Linked DNA regions of Struthio camelus. The protein of the gene in region 1 interacts with the protein of each later gene in a biochemical or structural test. Links are inferred from orthologs where the notes say so. Each region holds a gene or a part of one and is shown in the gene's direction. Other genes may lie near its edges.

Region 1 (8,153 bases):
GAGAGGTTCAGAAGGCTGGAAAAGGCAAAACATACTGGCTATTTAAAAAAAAAAAGTATCTGAGGAATTACTGACCAGTCAGCTTTACTTTATTGCCTACAAATAAACAGCAAGTAGACAACTCAAATTTGTCAAAAAAACCCAACACGTCAAACCAATCTTTCATGGCGAAGTAGCAGGCCTTGTGGGTAATGAAGTAGAAATAGATGTCATGTGTCTTGACTTTGGTAAGGATTTTGATTCAGCTTCATCTGATAGTCTTACAAACAAACTAGGAAGCATTGGAAAATAGGTAGATGAGTCTACTGAAAATACTGTTAGGAGAGTCTGATGCTGACTGCCCGCCTAATCTAAGATTAGTTTTTAATGATACATTGTCTAACAGGAAAAATGTGTCAAGAAGAAGGTCTGCACAGATCTGTCCTCAGAGTGGTACTACTTAATAGTTTCTTCAGTGATTTATTTAGTGGATTAGAAAGTGTGCCTATCAAATTTGCAGACAACACTAACCTGTGAAGGTTGCAATGAATTTGGAAGACAAGATCAGTATTCAAATGATCTTCCCAAATGGGAGATATGGCCTGAAAGAATAGAACACAATTTATAAGGCAAATGCGAAGTTCTACGCTTGGAAAGGAATAGGATGGAGAAAAGGCTAGGCAGAGACCTTCATCCTACATGACATTATAAGACAGGGAAATGGCTAGGCAGAGACCTCCAGTCTGTCAGTGGTCTCCATCAGGCTCAGGGCCTTCAGCAGGGTACGACCCTCAGACTGACAATGGCAGAGTGATGCAGAGCCCAGAACAGCCTTTTCTGGAACTGTACCATCTGCTTTCCTCACCTCTCCAAGAGTTACTGAGGTTCTTTTGATATTTTACTTCTCACTGCCAAAATATTTACACTTTGCACGCAAGGCCTCATTCGCTTTATTACTCTGTCTGCTGACTGTACAGAATCACAGAATAGCTGAGGTTGGAAGGGACCTCTGGAAATCATCTGGTCCAGCCCCCATGCTTAAGCAGGGTTAGCTAGAGTTGCCCAGGACTGTGCCCGGTCAGGTCTTGAATATTCCTAGGGATGGAGACCCCACAGCCTCTCTGGGTAACGTGCTCCAGTCTTCAACAACTCTCACAGTGAAAAAAGTGTTTTCTTATGTTCAGATGGAATTTCATGTGTTTCAGTTGGTGCCTATTGCCTTTTGTCCTGTCACTGGTCACCACTGAGAAGAATCTGGCTCCATCTTCTCTATGCTCTCCCTTCAGATATTTATACACATCAATAAGATCCGCCCCTCCCCCCCCCCCAGCGTTCTCTTCTCCAGGCTGAACAGTCCCAGCTTTCTCAACCTCTCCCTGTATGCCAGATATTCCAGTCCCTTAATCACCTCTGTGGCCCTTTGCTGGACTCACTCTGGTAAATCCATGTCTGTCTTGTACTGTGGAGCCCAGAACTGGACACAGTACTCCAGATGTGGCCTCACTAGTGCTGAGGAGAGGGGAAGGATCACCTCCCTCGATCTGCTGGCAATGCTCTTCCTAATGCAGTGCAGAATACTATTAGCCTTCTCTGCTGCAAGGGCACATTATTGGCTCATGCTCGCCTTGCTGTCCACTAGGATCCCCAGGTCCTTCTCTGCAAAGCTGCTCTCCAGCTGGTCAGCCCTCAGCCTGTACTAGTGCAATTCCTCTTCAGCTGCAGGACTTGCGCTTCCCTTTATTGAACTTCATGAGGTCTCTCTCTGCCCATTTCTCAAGCCTGCTGAGGTCCTTCTAAATGACAGAACAACCCTCTAGTGTATCAGCCAGTCCTCGCAGATTTGTGACACCTGCCAATGCGCTGAGGGTGCATTTGGTCCCATCATCCAAGTCATGAATAAAGATGTTAAACAGTATTAGACCCAGTATCAACCCCTGGGGGACACGACCAGTGACTGGCCTCCAGCTGAACTTCATGCTGCTGATCACAAGTTTCTGAGCTCGGCAGTTCAACCAGTTTTCAGTTCACCTCACTGACCACTTATTTGTTCTATCACCTTCCCGGGGATCAAGGTGAAGCTGACCAGCCTGTAGTTTCCCTGATCCTCCTTCTTGCCCTTCTTGAAGGTAGGGGGTGACATTTGCTTTCTTCCAGGCCTCTGGAACCTCTCTCGATCACCAAGACCTTTCAAAGATAATCAAGAGTGGCTTTGCAATGACATCAGCCTGCTCCTTCTGAACTTGCAGGTGCATCTCATCAGGGGCCAAGGACTTGTGTATATCCAGTTTGTTTAAGTGTTCTTTAATGTGATCCTCCTCCAGCAAGAGAGTCTCCCTTTCTCCAGACTTCTCCTCTGGTCTCAGGGGCTTGGGATTCCTAAGGGCCAGTCTTACCAGTAAGGACTGAGGCGAAGAAGGCATTCAGTACCTCTGCCTTTTTGGTGTCCTTTGTCACCAGTGCCTCTGTCTCCTTTAGTAGCGGGCCCAGATTTTCCCTAGCCTTCCTTTTGCTGCTTATGTACTTATAGAAGTCTTTTTGCCTTTCACGTCCCCTTCCAGCTTCAACTCTAGCTGGACTTTAGCTTTAGCTCTCTTAATCCCATCTCTGCCTGCTCATATAGTATCTTTGTATCCCTCCTCCAGCTTCCAGTTCTTGTACACTTCCTTTCTATGTTTGAGTTTAGTCAGGAGCTCCTTGTTCATCTATGCAGGTCTCCTGCTGCCTTTGCTTGATTTCCTGCTCATGGGGATGGACCATTCTTAAGCTTGGAGGAGGTGATCCTTGAATATCAACCGACTCTCTTGGACCCCTCTTTCCTCAGGGTTTTATTCCATGGGATTCTTCCAGGCATGTGTCTGAACAGACTGAAGTCTTCTCTCCTGACTTTAGATTGGACCTTTTGCTTTCTACCTTCTTATGCTTTCTGCAAACAGAAATAATTGTGGCTTCAGCAGGAAATTCACCCACCGACAGCTATAGCTGTCGTGGTCCTACATGCTTTGCCACTACTGCCACTTCTGATTCCTTTAGTTGCAGCACAGTCTCTTAGCGCTGAAAAGGATAAATGAGCATCTGACTTTTGTTCCTGGCTCTTTTGCTCTGGGTCTAAGACCCAGACAGCCTCACCCTGCAAGGTCTGTTCCTATTCCTTTTTGGGGGGGGGGGGGGGGAGAGGGGCAGCCACTCCTCACTCTCTAGCCTTAGGACAACGGCAAACCGTGTGATTGAAAGTCAAGCTGTGGAAGATACTTCTCCAAGGCCTCCTACAGGCTATCTTCAGACTGGTGCAAATGATACTGTCACATTTTCAGTAGATCAAAGGGTTTTAATGTTAGAACTGGTTCAGTGGTGTGCAGAGTCATAGTGCTGTTTTGCAGGAGTCTGGGTGTGCCTGAAGGGAGCCAAGAGCCAGGGAAAAGGCACTGTCTTCCCATGAGAAGAGAAAGATGGGAGGGCAAAAGAAGAGAGGCTGTATTTCTTTGTGTCTTGTTGCTACAGGCAGCAGAAATGAGAGCGGGTACATTTCCTATGGTGCCTGTTCTTGCTCTCCAGGCTGAGGAATGGAGGCAGTGATGCCATTCTTGTTGAGCTGTCTTTGCGTCTCCCTGCCCTAAACCAGTAAGACAGGCTGAACAGGTATCATAAGCTAGTGTCATGGATGCACCTCAAGATCCTGACACAAATGCTTATGAGTCAAAGCTGCTTCACCTGCAGTTCTTCACTGCTCCTTCACTTGCTTTTGGATTTTGCCCATGCCTTATTATCTCACTGCCTACACTCTTCCTATCTACAGCTTTGTTCAGTCTACTGTTTTCCCTAGGATCAGCACTGTCTCCATCTGTTTTTCTTAAACATAATTGAGGAGTCTCTCCAAAAGCCTCTTCCCTCTGTCTCTTTTCACAGGCTCTTACTGACCCTCGATCCTACTACACATGTATAGGAATAGCATTTTTTAATAGTTGGCAAGTCTTGTTTTTCATTCCAGGAGCTTCACACTGGAAGGACCAGGTTGGTCCTAGGTTGACTACAACTTGCAGGCAAGTAGAGAGCAATATCATAAGGCAGACATCTAGAAGAAAGAAATGTATTTCACCAGCTTTACATGACACATGCAGCCTAGGGCTCTATGTGTAAGAGCGGTCATGTCAATGGCTTTTCAAGTGTTGATGTCTTAATGCAGCTGCCTGCCAGATGTAGGGTGCTTCCTTCCACATTAGTGCCTGAACTGATGTCAGAAGCGGGCATTCAAAGTGAATCTTCCAGTCATCCTCACTTGCTGTGCTTTGGTTCATATTGCAGAACAGTCTCAGAGTGTGCAAACTAGACTCCTCTCAGAGGAAACTAAGCTAGTAGATGTGCCCTGAGAGCATACCTAATGCACTTCAAGCACTAATTGCTGTTCAGTCCATGGGGTCAGGGAAGAGATAATCCAAAGCAAACCGCTCAAACATGTTTGGTATAGATCTAGGCTCTCCAGCCCCAACTGTATCTCTGAAGAGATTTGTTTCCCTTGAACCATGCTGCTTGCCATAGACGTCATGTGAATTTCAAAGCTGTGAGGGGAGCAGTCAAGAAGATCTACTGCCAAGGAATACAGTGTCTAAAACAGCACTGGACATCAGCTTTTAGTCAGATGAACTGCATCTAGGAAGCGTGGCAGGGATGTTACAGAGGAACATATTCCTTTTGAGAAGGAGGAGACAGGATTTGATTCTTCAAATACTTTTTAAAGCACCCTAATGTCACAGGAGGCAGCATACATCGTGCAAACCCCTCTTCGTGGTTCTCCCTTTCTTTTAGAAGCTATGATTGTATCAGCTCCGATTTCTCCGGTGCTCTTCCTTTGGGATCACACATGTGGCAAAAGGGATGAAAACTTTTAAGGAGTTGACATTTCTATGGCTTATCTAATGGCTACTATGTATCTATGGCTACTACATACTTTTCAGCTAAATGCACAGTTTTTACCTGTTACCACCAGCTGCAATATTTTAGCGGCCCGAGAGCCTTGCCTCCCATCCTCCTCCCCGCCGGCCAGCACCGGCTGGGTGCAGACCTCGCGCTCGGAGCAGCCCCTGCGCGCCGGGAGCCGGCGGGGCACTGCCCCTTTAACGGGCGCCGCTGGTGCCTGCTCCTTTAAGGATTAGCCCCGCCCCGCCGTGCCCCGTGAGCGTCGCAAGCCCTGGCGGACCCACGGTAAGGCACTAGACGGGGGGAGCCCCCCGGGCCGCGCCATCCTGCCCGGGCGGCGCGGGGGGTCCCGCCGCCCGGGCTGGTGGCCCGGGAGGGACTGGCGGGCGGGCGGGCGGGGGCTGCGAGGCTGGGCGGGGGCGCTGCGGCCTTGCCACCCTGGCGAGGGGGCTCCTCTGGCGGGCGAGTCGAGGAAGAGAGGGAGGGGGGGAGACGCTGCCAGCCTGTGGGGCGCCGCTGCCCGGCAGCGGCAGGGCGCGGGGCTCCTGCGCGTCGCTGGTGACTGTGCCCGCCCGGGCTGCCCTCGGCCGAGCAGGCGCCGTGGCGGCCCGTCGCGGAGCCAGGGCTCTGCGCCAGGACCTGCCCCGGGGCGGGGGGGCCTGGCGCCCCCTCCCCCCCCCCCGCAGCTCACATGCTTCCGGCGCGACCGGGCCGGCCGGGCGGGGGCGGCGGCCGTAGCCATGTCGCTCACGGCGGGGCCTGCGCGCGTGTCGGTGTCGCCCGGCGCCAGGTGAGGCCCGGCGGGGTTTGGCGCCATGGCCATGAGGGAGCTGGTGGAACCGGAGTGCGGGAGCTCCAACGCCCTCATGAAGCTGGCCGGCCACTTCACGCAGGACAAAGCCTTGCGGCAGGAAGGACTCCAGGGCCCCCTGAGCTGGCCCGGGGGGGCCCCCGGCGCCGGAGCCGTGAGTGCCGCGGCGATGGGGCGGGCTGGGGCCTGCCCGCGGTGGGGGGCGGTGAGCGCGGAGTGGGGGCGTGCAGGCCGGAGGGACTCTGGGGGCCCTACTGGTTTTTTGGGGGGGATATGGATGGCTGCGGTGGACTGCGTGCCTTACTGCCGTGGGGGTCGGCCCAGAGCGGGAGCAGTTAGGCAAACATCGCTGGGGCTGTTTCTTCTCCTTCGGCTTCTGCGTAAGCAGGCAGGTAGTGCTAAGAAAGTGCTGCTAGCCTAACTTCGAGGAAGAGGAGGATGTGAATTTATCAGGCCTTGGTGTGTGAGGTGTACAGTGTCAAAGCTGTTGGGGTGATTGCCCACTGTTCCCTGCAGGTATCCAAACCGCTGGGAGTGGCCTCTGAAGATGAGGTAAGAACAGGCTGATATATTTCCTTACTACTTTTTCTCTTAACACTTCAGTTGATACTTTTTTTCTCTGTTTGTTCTTTCTTTCTACCTAGCCTGCTCCTTTCTCGCATGCTCCATTACTTTGCCTGTTTGTCTTCTGCACTATATTCACTCTCCATCTGTCTCTTTCGCAGTTGGTTGGAGAGTTCCTGCAAGAGCAGAATGCCCCTTTACTGTCCCGTGCACCCCAGACCTTTAAGATGGATGACCTGTTGGCTGAGATGCAGGAGATTGAGCAGTCAAACTTCCGACAGGCCCCTCAGCGAGGTGAGAGGCGCTGCAGTATGTGGAGAGCAGGAAAAGACCTTTGTAGTTTGGTTAGGCTCCCAGTAGGTTGGGTCCCCTCTATTCAGCACTTGTGAGATGATGTCAGGGGGCTGAAATACATGATGGAAGAGGAAAGGTTGAGGGAACTGTGTCTGTTCAGCTTGGAGAAGAGGATTCTAATTGCTAAGATGGGATCTAATTGCTGCCTTCAGCTACGTAATGGGGAGACAGAGCCAGAATCTTTGCAGTCATGTACAACAAAAGGACAAGAAGCAGTGGGGACGAGTTGTAAAAAGGGAAACTGTCTATAGATGTAAGGAAAAGTTTCTTTCCTTGGAGGATGATTCAGCACTGGAACAGGTACCCAGAAAGACCAGGGAATCGCCATCCTTGGAGATGTTCAGTAGTTGCCTGGACAAGCCCCTGAGCAACCTGATCCAGCTTTGGAGTTACCCTGCTGTGAGAAGACTGGAGACCTGCAGAGCTCCCTTTCAAGTGAAATCTTCCTGTGATTCTGGTCTAACAGAGAGAAAGGGACCTGATCAGAGAAGATGATGGCTATCTGAAGGAGCCTGAGACATTTAAATCATGTCTCTGAGTCCTCCCATCCTCATGTATGTTTTTCTTCCTGTAGCTCCAGGTGTGGCAGCCTTGGCGCTGTCTGAAAACTGGACCCAGGAGTTCTTGGCTCAGGCAGATGGCACTGGTGATGTCTCTTCAGACTACAACGAGGCTGACTGGTCACAGGAGTTCATAGCTGAAGTGACAGGTGACGACTCCCTTTTGGAAGTAAGGCTGAGGTGTTGCCCAGTCGCATGTTTTTGTACAGTGGAGAGTTAAGTTACTGGATATGAAATTGGAGTAACTGTTTGGGCCCAAGAAGTCAGTGTTTTTTGTAGTAGTGTGAACATGAAAAGAAGCTGCTTTGGAATAGCTTAGCCAAATTGCTCGCTATCCGGTGAGGATGCTCCTATTCAGGTGTAAGGGGCTTTTTTTTTTTTTTTTTTTTAGCCAGGATTACTTGCAAAACTTAGTAGAAGCAGGCTATTCAAACTGTTTTTATAAAAAAAAAAAAAAAAATATGATTCAAACCGCTGCAAATTCTGGAGGTGGGCTGGTACTGCTTCTTCTTGTTTATGTGTGTTTCTGACCCATAGGATAAGCTCTGTGTTCCAAGCAAGGTACTAGTTTATCTGAAAAGCCATCTTGCTTTGTGTACAGAGCTGTGACCATCTATGACCTAGCTTGGAAATGATGGGAACGATTTAAATAGATGCTATTCTCTTCCCCCAGGAGTAGCCACTGTAGAGAGCCAGGTAGACCCATTCACTCACCTTCTCTCTTTATATTCCTGGGAGTAGGTACCATAAAGCCTCAACGCTTGCTAGGGCCTGATGGAAAGCACTAGAGACTTGTAATAAATTGCTAATTTTCCTGACCTACATGGCATCTCACACAGAGCAACAGAGTAAATTGTGAAATTGAAGTAGGAAATCCTAAGGACGCTGGCATATTACTGCAGTGGCATCTCTCTGAGGAGACTCTCTGAACCCGAGGCTCGATTTTTGGAGCAGAATAAACAAACAGAATAAAT
Region 2 (8,129 bases), on another chromosome or scaffold:
GTCAAGGAAGAACGTGTCCCCCCCCCCTTCCTGCCCCTTCACGGTGTTTAGGGCTGGGAAGGGGCTTTGTAGCACAAGCCACGCATCTCCTCCCCTGCCTTTTCTGGAAGACTCTCCGGAGGACCGGCAGGAGAAAGGTCTTTTGGCTGCCAGCGGAAGAGATGGTGCGTTTTTCAGCAAGTTTCTCCTGCCTCTACAGCAGGGCTTTGGTTTCTGTGATTAAGTGTTTCAGGGCAGAGCTTGCAGTGCTGCGAGCCTGGATCCAGCAGCGACCTCGAAGCCGGAGACTCCCGTCAGCAGAGGGAACGGATCCTGGCTGGAAAGGGCAAAGAGCCTGGGCACGGCCCTGGAGCCACATCCTGCACCGGGCAAACCTCCAGCTAGCGAGGCTTTTCGCTAGGCAGGTGAAGAGGAACGATATGAGACAAACAGCGTTGTTGGACTAGCGTCTTTGAGATCTCAGCGCGCTCCAGAGAAGTCATCCATCAGACCTCTGTTGCAAGATTGTTCATATCAGAGTGGTCTGACCCACTGGTCCCCAGCCGAGGCCGGAGAGGGGATTGATTACTACTCGCTTGGCAAAGAGCAGCCGCTCGGCGTTGGGGGGGTGGAAGAAAGCGGCTTGGACGGACCGCTCTGAAATCACACCACCTTGGCTGTTGCCTCCCCTTGACTGCCTGCTTCATACGCAAACTGCTGTCCAGCCTCCCCTGCCCCAGGCAGAGAGGTATTTACAGGAGGAGATGATTTAACAAACCTAGAAAACACCCTCTTGCCTGCAACCCCCGCCTAGGAATCAATGCCTGACGTTGCCCCCCTCCTGACATTTCTCATTAAGCATTTATCGAGATGGTATTGTTTCTCTTTTTTCAAGTCCTCCGTTCTCCAAGTCCAGTCCCCATGGGATCCTCACAGCTCCTGGGTTTGACTTCTTTCCTGAAAACCTTGGCTCCTTCCCCCCTCTTTTGCTCTATGAGGTGACCCAGGACAGGGGGAGTTAGCAAGCCTTCCCGAACCAGGCTGGGGATGGATCTGCTCTGCTTTGACGCCACTTTTTCTGCTGCACTCCCACAGCATGAACCCAGAAGCCACGACATGCATGTGGGCCTGCATGTGAACACGTGCCAGTTGTAACCCGTCCGACGGCAGTCCTGACACGGCCAGCCCACGGTTCTGGCGTGGGACGTGGGGCTGGTACCCCACCAGGGAATTTGTTATAGTAAAAGACGACTTCAAACTAATCCTCTTTCCCTGCAGTACAAGGTGAGGTTCGCGTTTGCACAGATGCCCCTGATAAAGGCACAACAAGCAAGAGCTTAGCAGACAGCAAACAGATGCGGGGCCACCCCTGTGCAAGCCCTTCCCAGCAATGTTTCCCTCCAGAAACCACCGGCTCATTTGTTTCTCAAATCGTGATATTGTCCCAGAGCGCCCTGGTGTGATGGCCGGGAAGGCCAGCAGGGAGGAGAAGCCTGCCCTTCCCCGGTGATCAAGGCTCTGTCCACCCCAAACTCCCTCCTTGCTGCAGCCCAAGGCATGAGGGCACGGAGGTGAGTATTCCTCGGGTGCCGGCTGTGCTTTTGTCTCCGCTGATGATTGCTTTAGCCACATGGCCCGGTCACACCCCATTGCCAGCCGTGTACTTGGCCGGGGGGGGGAGGTCCCGGCGCCCCACAACAAATTCATGTTGCAGGAGGCACCTGAGCACCGCTGTGTCTCTTGTCGCTGGCCAAGGGACGAGTTTCCTCTCTTGGCCCTGCCTTCCCACCTCCATGCTTGCTTCCTGCCTTGCAGGAGCCGCAGCAAGGTGGGGGACATTGGGACTTCTCCTGGCAACTCAGAGCTATGGAGAAGGCAGAGCAGTACAAAGAAAGGGGTGGAACAGAGTCCCCTACGTGATTCCCCCCATCCATTTTTTACAAGCGCGGTGGAGCCACAGGATAGGTCTCTCCAACCTGGGTGCCAGGGGGCATTGCACATGCTCTACACTCTTCTGTTGGCCTTTGGGATGTGACAAGGTGTTGTTCCTCCACAACCCCTCTTGTCTTCACTTCTATAAATGAGGAGCCAGCAGCAGTTGCCAGGCTAGTAGCTATTTCCACCATCTCTGCAGCAACACAAGTTCTCTGCTCCGACCTGCTCCAAGCTCCTCTCGGAGAAGAGGAGCCGGCTGGTCACAGCACACCTCAGGCAGCAGCGCTCTCACCGTTCAAAGAGGTGCAGTCGCCTGGCCCGATAAGGCCCCACGATGCAGCTGCCTGATGGCGTTTGGCCTGAAGTTTGTACTCCCAAGCCCTGATACAGGAGCACTGCAGCACCTACCGAAGTCTTGTACCTAAACGGGTCTGAAACGTATGCCCCCGCGCTCTGCTGAATGGGTAAAGCCATACAAAGTGACAGATGCTGGGCAGACCTCATGTCTTAACCAAGGGGAAATCTAGCTGGTCAATCTGGAAGCTGAGCAGAGCTCGTTCACCACAGCTTTTTGTACCTGTCCCAATGCAAGGGGCAGAGACGGTCTTCAAGGCCGACAGAGCCAGTCAGCTGTAGGCAGGTCGTTCCTAGATGTGTGTTGGTCTGAGCTGAAGCAGAGTTTAGCACCTCCCACCGAGGCGAAGCTTGCACCTTTTGTTCATCTTCATTAATCTCAGCAGAGAAAGACTATACTCTGAAGGGAAAGGCCTGGCCGAAACTGCATTTGTGGATCATCATAAACAGGATTGCGTGTTTGCGTAGGGAGGGCAATGTGCCAGCAGCAGTCACAGCGGCGCAGCTGATCCTGCCCCAGACATCTCCTTTGGCACCAACAGCCCCAAGCATCACCCCCTGCCCTGCAGGCCCAGAGAAGGGGCCAGCAGGACTGCCCTTGCCAGGACCTACAGACACATAAGGGGAAGGGGCTCCCTGTCCTCTGCCACAGATTAAAATGCCAGCCCCAGGCACGTGCCAATGATCCATGCTGCCACACGGAGGCCTGCCCAAGGGCTTTCGGCTTACGGCTCCGCTTGCAATTCATGGCAAAAAGCTCCTCGTAGGCAAAAAGCTCCTCGTAGGCTCTTTCGTAGGCAGCTGCCCGCGGCAGGGAGATGGCCAGCCCCAGCAGGGTCCAGGGCCGTGGTGGTCCAGTGACATTAGGTGACAAGTCACCTCTCCTGCACCAAACCAGCAAGCTTGTAGGGACTTTCCATCCCATAAGCATCGTCTCCAGCCCCAAGTTGTTGGCTGACTCCTTTCTAGGGAAGCACTTGCACAGGCTGGGGCAGGAGGAAGGGATGGGCAGAGGTTCATGGAGAGAAGCAGCCAGTTGCTGCAAAAAGCAGGTCTCTTAGCATCTTTTTTACAGGGCAGCAGGCAGGTCCACACTACTGTGGGTCACTCCTGCCCGCTGCTGGCTGAGCAGGGACCACGCCATCCCAGAGGAGATCAGATCAGGAAGCTGGAGAGTGGCCAGGGAGCGAGCACTTGGCTCTGAGCCACAGTCCGTTCATCCGCCGGAAACACAGGAGCCTTGCCAGCTCCTCACAGCCGGGGACCCGTTCCCAGACCTGCCAAGAGCCTGCAACGGGCAGCTCTCAGGGTCGTGGCGCTTGCATTTCAGAGTTGATATCTGACCCATGGTTCTCATTCAGTGGAGGAACACTGCAGGCTTCAGCAGAGCCGTAGTCCTTCTCCCAGCTTTGGGCTGTGTAGAGGAGGTCAGAATCACTCACGTGGAAATCTGGCACAGCTGAGAGGGAGCTGCCTTGGCTGTCAACAGGAATGGCATGATGGACGAAACACATGTGTGATGGACCACGGGCACATGCAGTGGACAACAGGCACACGTGCTGGATGATAGGCGCACATGACAGATGGCAGGCACAGCATGACGGATGACAGGCACAGCATGATGGAAGACAGACACAACATGATGGAGGATGGTCACAGTGTGATGGTTGATGGGCACAACATGATGGACCCTGGGCAGACATGACAGATGACAGACACAACGTGACAGAAGACGGTCACATAGGATGGAGGATGGCAGGCTGCGATGGACCACGGGCACACATGACAGATGACAGGCACAACATGATGGACAATGGGCACAGTGTGATGGACCACAGGCACACTTGACAGCCATGGCACATTGAACAACAGGCATGCTTGTCATGCAACTTCATAATGTGTTGTAGGACACACCATGACACCTGAGAGCTGGGCCAAGCCTGCAGGAGCACAGCTCACTCCAGCAGGGACTGTGGCTGCTGCAGAGGCATGTCCGGCCCTGTGGCTCTGCCCTTGGGCAAATCATCCCAACACCTAGTCTTCTCTGGGTGGATGGCACTTGGATGGGCATCCGTCTGCAAGGCTGGTCCTTGGGCACAGAGCAATGATCGATAGACCTGTCTTATAGTGAGGTTAATGCAGAATAAGGTTCTGTTATGGACTGGATGCAGTGGTCACACTAGGTGTTACAGACTCATGTCCCCATCAGTGAGTACAGGCTCACGGCCTGGGAGGGCTACACCCCTGCGATGCTGGAGGTATCCCAACAGTGGCAGCTGTGCCAGGACCGGTCTTGAGGTGCATTTCCCCTGGAACGGGGGCAGCAGGGACCCTGTGAGCAGTGTCTGCCTCCCCTTGCAGCAGGGCTCCCACCAAGAAGGCGTTGGGAACCCATCAACCATCCTCTTCTGCCCCCTTAATGTGCCTCCTCACCAAGGTGGGACGTCCCCTCCATGGGCACCTGGGGCCCAGATCCCACTGGCGGACCCCAAGACCTTCCCCCCCTCTTCCTCTTGCAGGTGAAGAAAAACGGGATTGCCCATCAAAGTAAGGTACAAGAGCAGCTCATCTTCCCCCAGCTCGCGGAGCCCACGAGTGGCTCATGCCATGTCTTGCTGGGACGTGGCGCAAGGAGCCGTGACCTACCCTCAGCCCTGGGGTGGACAGCATGTTCAGTGCACACGGAGACAACGGGGTGGACGCCAGCCCAGCGCATTCATCGATCTGGGGCCGGAGAGAGCTGCCGCGACCCATCCTGAGTGGTGGGTTACGTCACGGCTGTTGCAAAGGGCATGCAAGGGGCCCAGGTGCTGCCAAGGTGGCTGGAAAATGCCGAGGGACATTTGTCTGCGATAGCTGGCCCCATGGGCAGGTGTTTCCCGTCTGCCATGGGAGCTGCTGATGTGCAGGGCAGATAAACGGAGTCAATGAGGGGCAGATGCGGCCCCGGGGGGAGCGTGGTGGGGGGCATCCCCTGCGATGAGAGGGCTGAGGCGGCGGGGCTGGTGTTAGTGGCACATTAACCGGGAGAGGAGGCAGCCAGGGGCAGAGTCCGGACCAGTGACGGGGTAGAGCGTCCTCCCCCGGGGTCGGGGTCCGCTGGGCTCTCCTGGCCGTGGTGATGCACAGTGCAGCGGTGTGGGGCATCGCGCGGGCAGCCTCTCTCCTCCCGACTCGGATCCGGGAGCCGCTGTGCCGCACCATGGCTGCCGGCCCTCTGCACGTCGCCCCGCCGGAGCAGCTGCGCCAGCCCCTGGCCGTGCCACAGAGGCTGCTGCTGGGGCCGGGACCCAGCAATGTGCCCCCTCGCATCCTGGCCGCGGGCGGCCGGCAGCTCCTGGGCCACATGCACCCCGAGATGCTGCAGGTGAGTCACCTCCTGGCCCTGCCTGCCTCCCCTCCCCTCCTCATCCTCACCATAGCCCCATTATGCAGCCCCTCAGGGCAAGGTGCCGGCAGGGCTCCGCGGGGATGAGGGCAGTGGTAACGGCAGCGGTCTCTTGCTGCCCGCCACAGATCATGGACGAGATCAAGGCGGGCATCCAGTACGCCTTCCAGACGCGCAACCCGCTGACCCTGGCCATCAGCGGCACCGGCCACTGCGCCATGGAGGCCGCCCTCTTCAACCTGGCTGAGCAGGGCGACGCCGTGCTGGTGGCCGTCAACGGCATCTGGGGCGAGCGCGCAGCCAACATTGCCGGGAGATTGGGTATGCCGGGGGGCAGCCGGGCTGCAAACCACACCAGTGGGGCTCAGGGTTTAACCAGCTGCTTGCGGGCTAGGACACCCTCGCCCAGGAGATCCTGCCCGCTGTCCCCATCCTGGGCTGCTGTGGCTGGAGACACTGCACTGGGGACAGGAGAAAGTCCTGGGTGAAGCCCTCTGCTTATGGTGGTTTATGGTTTTTCCACTGGGCAAATGCCCAGGAGGCCGGACTCTGGCCAGTGGCTCTGCTCCTGGTTAATATGTGACTTATTCCTCTGTGGAGCAGGAGGAAGGGCCGAGCCTGACTCTCACTCTGCCCAAATCCCTTCCAGGAGCCGACGTTCATAAGGTGCTGAAGCCCCCGGGCGAGTACTTCACCCTGCGGGACATTGAGGAGGTGAGTGCCGGACGCAGGCGGTGGGCTCCCTCCTAGCCCTCCAGCCCCGGGGCTGAGCGATTCATCTCTCTCTCTCTTTCCATGCAGGGCCTGGTGCGGCACAAGCCCTCACTGCTCTTCATCACCCACGGCGAGTCCTCCACGGGCGTCCTGCAGCCACTGGAGGGGCTGGGCGAGCTGTGCCACCGGTCAGTGAGCAATGGGTGCCCGTGGGACCCCGAGGTGGCAGCCCATGCCCAGTTGGCTGTCCGGGACTGGGGGGCGGGGATTGATTCATGACGTGTGACCTTGGGGGGCTGCGACACTCAAGGTTGGAGGAAAAGGGGAGGGAGGAAGGGCGTGAGGGCAGGAGGAGGTGGCAAGAGGCCAGGGCTGAGCTCTGTCCTCCCCCAGGCACGGCTGCCTGCTGCTTGTGGACGCGGTGGCATCGCTTGGGGGGGCACCTATCCTCATGGACCAGCAGGGTAAGAGCTGTGGGTGCTGTCGGGGGCACCCGGATGGACAAGAGGGTCCCACATGCCAGAGGTTCACACCGGGGCCTGGAGGGGGAGATAGAAACAGGATCAGCTCCATCACCTGTCAGTTCACGCCAGTGACACTAGAAACTGGTCCAGCTGTGGCCAGACACCCTGTGGCCACCTCCACCTCTCGGTGAGGACTACCAGAGGTGCCAAGGTGTCCCTCAGAGCAGGCCAAACACAACCAGGACCCCACAGCACCTGTGATCCACTCAATGCTCCCCACACACCATTCACAGCAGGACAAACGTGAGCGAGACCTGGGGCAACACGTTTCCCGCCAGGGAGCCCCCGGGTCTCTGAGGAGCTTTCTCTCCTCTTGTGCAGAGATTGACGTCTTGTACTCGGGGTCTCAGAAGGTCCTCAGCGCCCCCCCTGGCAGTTCTCCCATCTCGTTCAGCGAGCGAGCCAGGTAAGGACAGTTCTGTCCTCTCTGTGGGCGGCAGCCATGGGGAGAGGGGATGGGGCAGGCCGTAACCCCTCTCCTTTGCTGTCCATCTGGTCCAGCCCTGCCAAGGAGAGTGCTCCCAGCACCAGGTCTGCTGGGGCCAGAGCCAGGCCCTGTGCCGGCTAGCACCCCCCCAGCAGCGATGCTGGCCCTGGGGCTGGTACCGAGAGCTCCGCGAGAACCGCTCCCTGCTCCACACTGGCCCTGGCCCTGGAGCTGCCCGTGGGCCTGGAGCTCCCCTGGTGCTCTCCTTGGGGAGGCTGTGGCACAAGGCAGACCCCCAGCCTGGAGCTGATGAGGGGATGGGGTGATCCCTGCTGGGGGTCCCCAGAGTCCAGCTCAGGCCCTGTGCTCTGCTTCACCAGGGAGAAGATGCTGAGGAGGAAGACGAAGCCTCCCTCCTTCTACCTAGACATGGGCTGGCTGGCAAACTACTGGGGCTGTGACGGCAAGCCGCGAACGTGAGGAGAGGCTGTCCTGGGACAGATGGCCACAGGCATCCCAACACGGGTTGCTTCCCTTTGCCCAAAGCTCCTCCCAGCTTGCAGCACCCCCCCACCCTGAAAGAGCCCTTTCCTCCCAACCCAGGCACCCAGCATGGGTCCCCTCCCCAGCACAGCCTTTCGCCCAGCTGGCCGGTCACCTGTCCTGCAGGGATCTGTCACGCCGGCTCCTCCACGCAGGGCTCTGCCACCTCTCCCCATCAGCCCCATCCTCCTCACGGGCTGCCCTGGGTGCTTCGCTTCCCCTTGGTGCTGGGTGCGGTGGAGGCAGCAGAGCTTGGCTGCACCTC
Region 3 (7,340 bases), on another chromosome or scaffold:
AGCGTTAGTGAAAATAAAAGCACCTGCTGTGGATAGACTAGAAAAGCAGAGGTGGCCACCTCAGCTTTCTGATTTTTAATCTTGAAAGGAGAAAGATCATTTTTAACTGCTTATAACGAGGAGATCTTGACACCTTCTGCAGCCGCCTCTCCCCTGGGTAAACAATTTCATTTTCCCAAAAAAGCAGTGCACATTTAATATCTCAACTGGAAGTGAGAAGTCCATGTTTCAGACAAAGGAAACCGTCAACTCCCCCTAACGATACGTTTTTATGTTGCATCTTGATGGAAAGAACAATTAGTCCTACTTGCCAAACCCACCCGGAGGCCCTTTGATTTTTCTCCCTCTTTTGTTCTTCCTAAACCCCAGGAAATGCAAAACACTTTTTGAAAAGAAAAGCCATTACTTTTTGGTTCTCTCAAGCTTGAAATTGAAATCTTTCTTTGCCAAGATCTTGCACCCCACCTCTGACAAACACACAAGCTATTAGCTCTGTACTGCACTGCTTTTTTGTGGAAAAATGCTGCTGGGCCAGCAAAGTGCTTAACGGAGCTGTGAGAAAGGTCTCACCAGCACTTTTCTTGCTCCACAGAACCAAATTATAAATACATAGATTACAGGGATTGTCCGAACATAGCAGAGAGCCATCATTTTATTTTTGCAATTGCCAGCTCTGTGACAAACATGACAAACAATTGCAAGTATTGGCTGAAAAACAAGCATCGGAGTGGGCAATCTTACCGTTTTGGATGATACAATCTGCATCCTGGCTAAAAATCTATATCCTCCAAACTATCCAAAACATGCTGCTTTGTACCTTTTCACTCCTTTACCTAACTCCCCTTCTCTTCTAGATACTGCTATTACCTTTAAATGTTACCGGTAAAGAAGTGAGTCATTTCTTCTCTAAACGCTGCTGCCTGTTTGCCTCCAATCCTCTTGGGCCTTGCTGGCTCAACAACGAAAGGACAAGCTTAGCTCTAAACTCCAAGATGCTGCCCAGCACTGCAACTAGCTCGCTGCTCCTTAACACTTTTCTTCCTCATCCCTTAACCAGCCTCAACACTACTATCATTCTTTTTTTTTCTGGCCACCTAAATCATTTTAATACCTCAGGAGTTAACTTCGCACGAGCAGCAGCCGCAGGATAATGGCAGTTTCTGTCACCTTTAGCGTGCTCTACAGGGTGGCAACGCAGAGCGGTGGTGATCCTGTCCAGCCGCCCAGAGAGCGGGAGAGAAACACAACCTGTAGTTTCGCCCAGCTCCCTGGAGCTTTTGTCTGCCCTGCGCCTGCTGGTCACCTCTCCTCATCCCAGTATTACTCAAACTGGCTTGATTTTGTCCCCTTCCTGCTCCTGCCAAGCTGGACGACGCGCCTGGGGACAGCTCTGGAAGTGCACTTTGCCTGCAAGAGAGGTTTCTCCTCCTTCTCAAACAGAGGCTGGGTTGGGAAGGCCACATGAGCCACAACATAACACAGTAGCCTTTCCAATAAAGTCACAGCACCCCCGCAGAGGGGGCTGCTGTGGGTCTTGTTTTATAATTAAAAAAGCAGCCTCGTTTCAGCAGCAGTGTTATTGCTGACACAGTCCTCCGGATTTGAGCCTAGCTCAGAAGACGACTTAAATGTTTTTGTCTACCAGAATAATTGGCACGATCCCAAAAGAGTTTCAATACAGTCTCACTGTGCTTTGGTCTCGTTGCATTATACAAGTCTTTATCTAGCTGGGTCATACCTTCCAGCTGACCTTGTCTGATACTGTTTTAACAGCGACCAATAGCAGGTTAGAGAAAATCCAGAGGAAAAACAACAACACACTTCACCCAGTTGTATAAAGCTACACAGAAGAACCCTTGCTGAATTTCACAGGTGATATGTATACTCAAAAGCAGGCTATTTCACTGTCCTTCTAACTTCAGATCACATACTTGGAAACATGGAGAATAATCATAAAACACACACTCAAACTTCAAACACGGCCAACCACAGCCCGTGTCCTCATAACCTCTGTTTTGACAGATGTAAAACAAGATTCAATTTATTTCAATAAGAAACACAACTACCATATTCCAAGTGCAACATTGGAGAAAACTCTTTTTCGCAGGTATGTGGATTTTTGTTTTGTGTAGGCCATAGCTTGCTTCATACGTTGTTAAGAGACAGCTTGGTAGCAGTACCAAGTGCAATGGACTAAGCAAACTCTGCATGGTTTACAGCAAGTCCCAGAGGAAGGCCAAAACCAAAGCAGAGCAGATTTACAAATAGCAATGTTTTAAATAACTGAAGAAAATGCCAGCTTCTTGTATACAAATCTAAATTTGAAGAGAGCAGAGAAAATTTACAACCACGCCACAAACATCCTTATGTTTTTAGAGAAAAATCTAAGATAGATTGCGCTTGCCTTCCTGTTGTTCTGTGTCCAACCAACACCTGCTAAAGCGAAAACTCATAAAAGGTGTTCAAGCTGACAGCAAAAGGGTTCTGTTCTACCCCTCACTTCCTCCTCCAAAAAACAGGAGATGAAGCAGAGGAATTCCTCCAGAAGGTCTGGCAATGGTTAATGCTTTAAGCATTAGCTTGACATTTAAATGTAGACCGAACCAAAAATATGATTTAATGAGAAGACTAAGGAACCATCACAACCAGAAGCATAAGCAGCTTCAGTCTAAAATCATAGCGAAAACTGAATCCTGCAGCTGACCAGCACTAGCTTTGCCCTGCACAGAATTCAAACAACAGCCTGGCCTGAGCTCAATACCACTGATTTCATGCAGATGTAAACAGGAACGGGGCAGGTTTAAGGTCTCAACTCGGCATTAATACAAGCAGTCTAGTATTGAAACAGTTTTGTGTTGAACCCCTAAAGCTCTAACGCAATCCCCAGTTTAACCAGACTTACATAGCAGCTGGCATCCATTTCTTATCCACACCTGCTTCATTCTGCAAAACCTCTAGAGTATGTGCATGATAGCCCAGTATGGCTCGGGGCGGCCTGGGCACCAGGAAACAAATGGAGCAGCCAAACACAGATGGCAAAAGGGAAAGCTTGCCTCAGCTTTAGAAGCCCTCAGCCCTAAGAGCATGTGCCCACAGCAGGCAGTCTGTCCCCTCCCAAGGAGCAAAGGCACCATCACCCCCAGGCCTTTGGTGCTCCCCATCCCATTCCCAAATGCTCTCTGTTTCCTATTGTCTCCTTACTCCTCAGACCCTATTGCCCAACTCCAGGACTGTCTTTGCCACCAGCCCCTCCACTCCTATTCCCCCCTGCTTCCCATCACATCCCTCCCACCCTCAGCATGCAGCTGGACTCCCAATCGCTCCACCTCAACCACCAGCACCACGTCCCACCAGTGTTCCCAGCTCCAGCAGCACACCCACCATCCCATCTCTATCTGTTCCCCCAGGGCCCCTTCCCAGGAGCCTGACTCCTGCTGCCCAACCCTCACCCACGCCCAGACCTGCCACTATCCCAGTGTTTCATTCCCCAACTCTCATCCCATCTCTCCTCCCCAGTCCCAACAACCCCCATCGCTACCCAGTTCTCCTGCTTGCCCCCAGCACCCCATCCCTGCCCAGTCTCCCACCCCAGTACCCCTACCCCTCACCCCCCCAATGCCTTGGCACTTGTCCCACTTTTGCCCCCCCATACCCTCAGCAATCACTCCCTGCACTTCTCCCTTGCCTAATTCTCCAGGATTTGCCCCCCAACCCCTGCCCATTCCCCCCAGTCCTCCCAGTTCCAGCACTCACTTTCCCAGCCTCCTCCCAGGCCCCCAGATCTCGCCCCCACCCCTGCCCAGTCCCCCCCAGCACTGACCCCCCCCACCCAGTCCCCACCCCAGCACACACCCCTCATCCTAGTCCCCCAGGGTCCCCTCCCAGTACTCACCCCTATCCCTTCCCAGTCCTCCCAGTGCTCCCCTCCAGCGGCCCAGTAGAGTCTCCACCCCAGTACCCCCCCCATCCCATCCCAGTGCCCCCTCCCAGGATCCCCTACCACCTCCCACTTCCCCCTCCCAGTACTGCCGACCCCTCCCAGTGCCCCCAGCACCTCCCAGTGCCCCGGCGCCCCCGCCCCACTCACGGCGGCGGGCGGCGACGGACACACCGGCTGTGGGGGCGGCCGCGGCGGAAGCGGAAGCGGAGCGGAGCGGAGCGGCCGGGAGGACTCGCGAGGAGCGAGAATCAACCCTCCCCCCGCCTAGAGCGGCCGCGCCCCTGCCACCATAGAGGGGCGCGAGGCGGAGACAGAGCGCCGCCGCGCCCCACTTCCGGGGGAGAGCCCCGAGGCCGCCGCGCTCCGCCGCCGCGTTGAGGGCGTGGGGGCCGCCGGCTCCCCCTGCCGGCGGGGGCGGCGCCATGGCCGAGCTCGGGGCCCACCTCACGGCCACCCCGGCCGGCGACGACCGGCCCTCCATCTTCGAGGCGGTGGCCCAGGACAGCCTGATGGCCGCCGTGAAGCCGGCCCTGCAGCACCTGGCCAAGGTAAGGGCCCGGCGCCTCCCGTTCCCTGGGCCCACTTTCCATGAAACGGCTCTTTTCTGTGAAATGGCTGTTCTCCATGAAACGGTGGGCGACGCACGCTTCACCCAGAGGACAGGAGATGTTGGCGGTGGTGGGTTTGGTGCGTGGCTGGAAGGGTTCATTACTGGGCAGCGTGCTGCTCCCGCGCGTAAGCAGACCTGTTGCCCTATTGCGGCGCATGGGTCCTGGCGTCGGAGGCGATGTGAGGGGCTGCTGGGCGCCCTCCCTGTGAGTCTACAGGAGCCTCTCTCCAAAAAAACAAGTCCCTTCGGTATTATGTTTCTCATTTCCCTTGTGCTCTTCAGAAACTGCTTACTGGAAGCTGTCTTCAGACTGCCTGGCAAGCGTTAACCGCCTTTCTCAACAGTGTTGTGTCGTGGGGAAGGTCCCTAGAGGAAACTCAGCAGAAGGGTTACATGGCCTGTCCAAGACGGTAGCTGAAGTGCAGGACAAGCAGTCTGCGCCTGCACAGAGGGTGCAGACTGATGCAAGCTCCCTCTGCCCTTGATTCAAGCAAGCCAGAATCAAGATGGAAAACAGAGTTGGCTTGTGTCCCGTTGACTCAAGAGAGCTCAACTGTATTCATACGCAGGGAGGCATGCCTTTAGCGAGGACAGGTAATGTAGACAGTGAATACTTGACAGTGAATGCTTTGAGGGGAAACTGCTGCACAGAGAGAACGTCGAGAGTTTGAACACCGCTCTCTCAGCTGAGCTTTTCATCACCAGGATTCACATTTGGCCACAGCTGTGAGCAAGCATAGCAGTTTTGACCCATTCAGCTCACTTTATGAACTGCAGGCATAGTTTACAGTTACTGTAATTTAGCATCTGTCTGCACCATCAGCTCCTTCCCCATTTTGTGTTTCTTTCAATAGGTGCTGGCTGAGTCGAATCCTGGCCGATATGGCTCCCTCTGGCGTTGGTTTGATGAGATCTACATCCTCCTGGATTTACTGCTCCAGCAGCAGTATCTGGCCAGGTGCAGTGCCTCTTTTTCTGAAAACTTCTATGGCTTAAAGAGGATAGCAATAGGAGACTGCAAACAATCGCTGGCCAGTGCTGGCCTGCCAAAGAAGCAGCACTGGAAGTCTCTCCTTTTGCTTGTTCTTGTTCCTTACCTGAAAGGAAAGCTAGAGAAACTGGTGTCCAGTCTGAGGGAAGAGGATGAGTACTCCATCCACCCTCCCTCATCGTCCTGGAAGCGCTTTTACAGAGCCTTTCTAGCTGCCTATCCATTTGTAAACATGGCCTGGGAGGGCTGGTTTCTTATCCAGCAACTGTGCTATATCCTCGGGAAAGCTCAGCATCATTCACCCATGCTGCAGCTGGCTGGCGTTCGCCTGGTGAGACTGACTGCAGATGATATCCAGGCCTTGGAGAAGAAATCTGCAGTAGCCGCCTCGAGTCGGACACACAGGTACATTAGAACTCTGCTTAGCAGCTACTTGCTAGGAGGTTCTGTGGGTGGGCTGACGTAGAGGCAACGCCCCTAGGTTAAGCTGTCTTGTTCTCCAGAAAGATGAAGTTTACATGTGGCAAAACCCTGCTCCAAAAGGGAATGTCATGATAGTAAGTGTAAATAAGGAACAAAGTAAGAGGCATTAGCTTCACAGGAGTTTGTGCTAATAAAATCAGAATGCTTTTTTGGCACTCCAGCCTCCGTTCCATTCAATCTTTAGCTGCCCTTTTCTATTAAGGGAAGCAGACTGTACCCATTTTGCTAAAAGGACTGAAACTTAGCCACAACTAGTCATGGTCACATTTAATGTCCTGTAAAATGATGGTCCATGAGTGAAATGTTCTGTGATCCAGGTCCCCTCAACCCAAACTCTTCTGATTTAGACCTCTGAATAAAACAGGACTTGACATTTTCCTAGAGATGCTATGCTCTTCTTAAAACACAAAGAATCTGAGAGCAACACCCTAGCAGATGTCTCATTACAAACATGGAACATGTTAACAAAATCATTTAGCATTAAGAAGCTGTATAGAGCAGTAACTTACCCCAAACCTTTTTAGCCTTGGTTTGCAGAGGGACAAATGTGCAGTACTGCTAATTTCTCCTTTCCTTCTCTCCCTGCCACAGCATTAAGGCACAAGTGCAGTCAGCAATGAAGAAAGCTTTGGGTGGCATTGCCTTCTCCCTGTCCACTGGGCTGTCTGTCAGCGTATTCTTCCTTCAGTTCCTGGAGTGGTGGTACTCCTCGGAAAACCAAGAGACGATCAAATCTCTGACAGCGCTCCCTACTCCTCCACCACCAGTACACCTTGACCATGGGGCGGACTCAGCTCTCTTACCTAAACTGAAGACCATGTGCCCGCTGTGCCGCAAAATTCGAGCCAATGCCACGGTCCTGTCCACGTCTGGCTATGTATTTTGCTACCGCTGCGTGTATAATTACGTGAAGACTCACCAACGATGCCCAGTCACAGGCTATGCCACAGAGCTACAGCACCTTGTCAAACTGTATTCCCCTGAGAGCTGAAAGGCCGGCTCTGTGCTTTCACAGAGATGCATCTGAGACTGAGTGGCAGGGCCACTGGGTAGCAACGAGCCTGAATTTGCCCTTTCTGATGTCCCCGAGAAGACCATCGACCAATACAACTTGCAAGTGGATCTCTAAAGCTCCTTTGAGTCCTACAGATTAGACTTTTGCTGCCTTGGTAAACTTCGATAAGGCTCGCCCTCTTGTTTTTTAGCCATTCAAACATCCCATGACAAAGCTCCAGAAGGGTAGGACAGTCACGATCTGTCAGTCAGCATAGAAACACCTTCAAAGGCAAACTGAATGGGAGGAGACATTGATTTGG

The links.
Region 2: the proteins of PEX5 (region 1) and AGXT are reported together in a solved structure, tested with the Homo sapiens proteins (2 studies listed by BioGRID and IntAct, with this or other methods). The link is inferred for Struthio camelus from reciprocal best matches to the Homo sapiens genes PEX5 and AGXT.
Region 3: the proteins of PEX5 (region 1) and PEX12 form a complex in vitro, tested with the Homo sapiens proteins (2 studies listed by BioGRID). The link is inferred for Struthio camelus from reciprocal best matches to the Homo sapiens genes PEX5 and PEX12.

The regions. Positions count from the first base shown.
Region 1 is NC_090942.1:90,422,083-90,430,235, reverse strand, and holds the start of PEX5 (peroxisomal biogenesis factor 5), read left to right. Parts: upstream 1-5,063; 5' UTR 5,064-5,175; intron 5,176-5,584; exon of another isoform or gene 5,585-5,680; 5' UTR 5,681-5,705; coding exon 5,706-5,855; intron 5,856-6,217; coding exon 6,218-6,253; intron 6,254-6,426; coding exon 6,427-6,559; intron 6,560-7,193; coding exon 7,194-7,328; intron 7,329-8,153.
Region 2 is NC_090950.1:3,953,205-3,961,333, reverse strand, and holds the start of AGXT (alanine--glyoxylate aminotransferase), read left to right. Parts: upstream 1-5,051; 5' UTR 5,052-5,389; coding exon 5,390-5,635; intron 5,636-5,784; coding exon 5,785-5,977; intron 5,978-6,305; coding exon 6,306-6,370; intron 6,371-6,457; coding exon 6,458-6,558; intron 6,559-6,763; coding exon 6,764-6,834; intron 6,835-7,215; coding exon 7,216-7,300; intron 7,301-7,701; coding exon 7,702-7,797; intron 7,798-8,129. UniProt on the Homo sapiens protein: Peroxisomal aminotransferase that catalyzes the transamination of glyoxylate to glycine and contributes to the glyoxylate detoxification.
Region 3 is NC_090957.1:14,844,247-14,851,586, forward strand, and holds the start of PEX12 (peroxisome assembly protein 12), read left to right. Parts: upstream 1-4,262; 5' UTR 4,263-4,362; coding exon 4,363-4,488; intron 4,489-5,404; coding exon 5,405-5,946; intron 5,947-6,533; exon of another isoform or gene 6,534-6,615; coding exon 6,616-7,015; 3' UTR 7,016-7,340. UniProt on the Homo sapiens protein: Component of a retrotranslocation channel required for peroxisome organization by mediating export of the PEX5 receptor from peroxisomes to the cytosol, thereby promoting PEX5 recycling.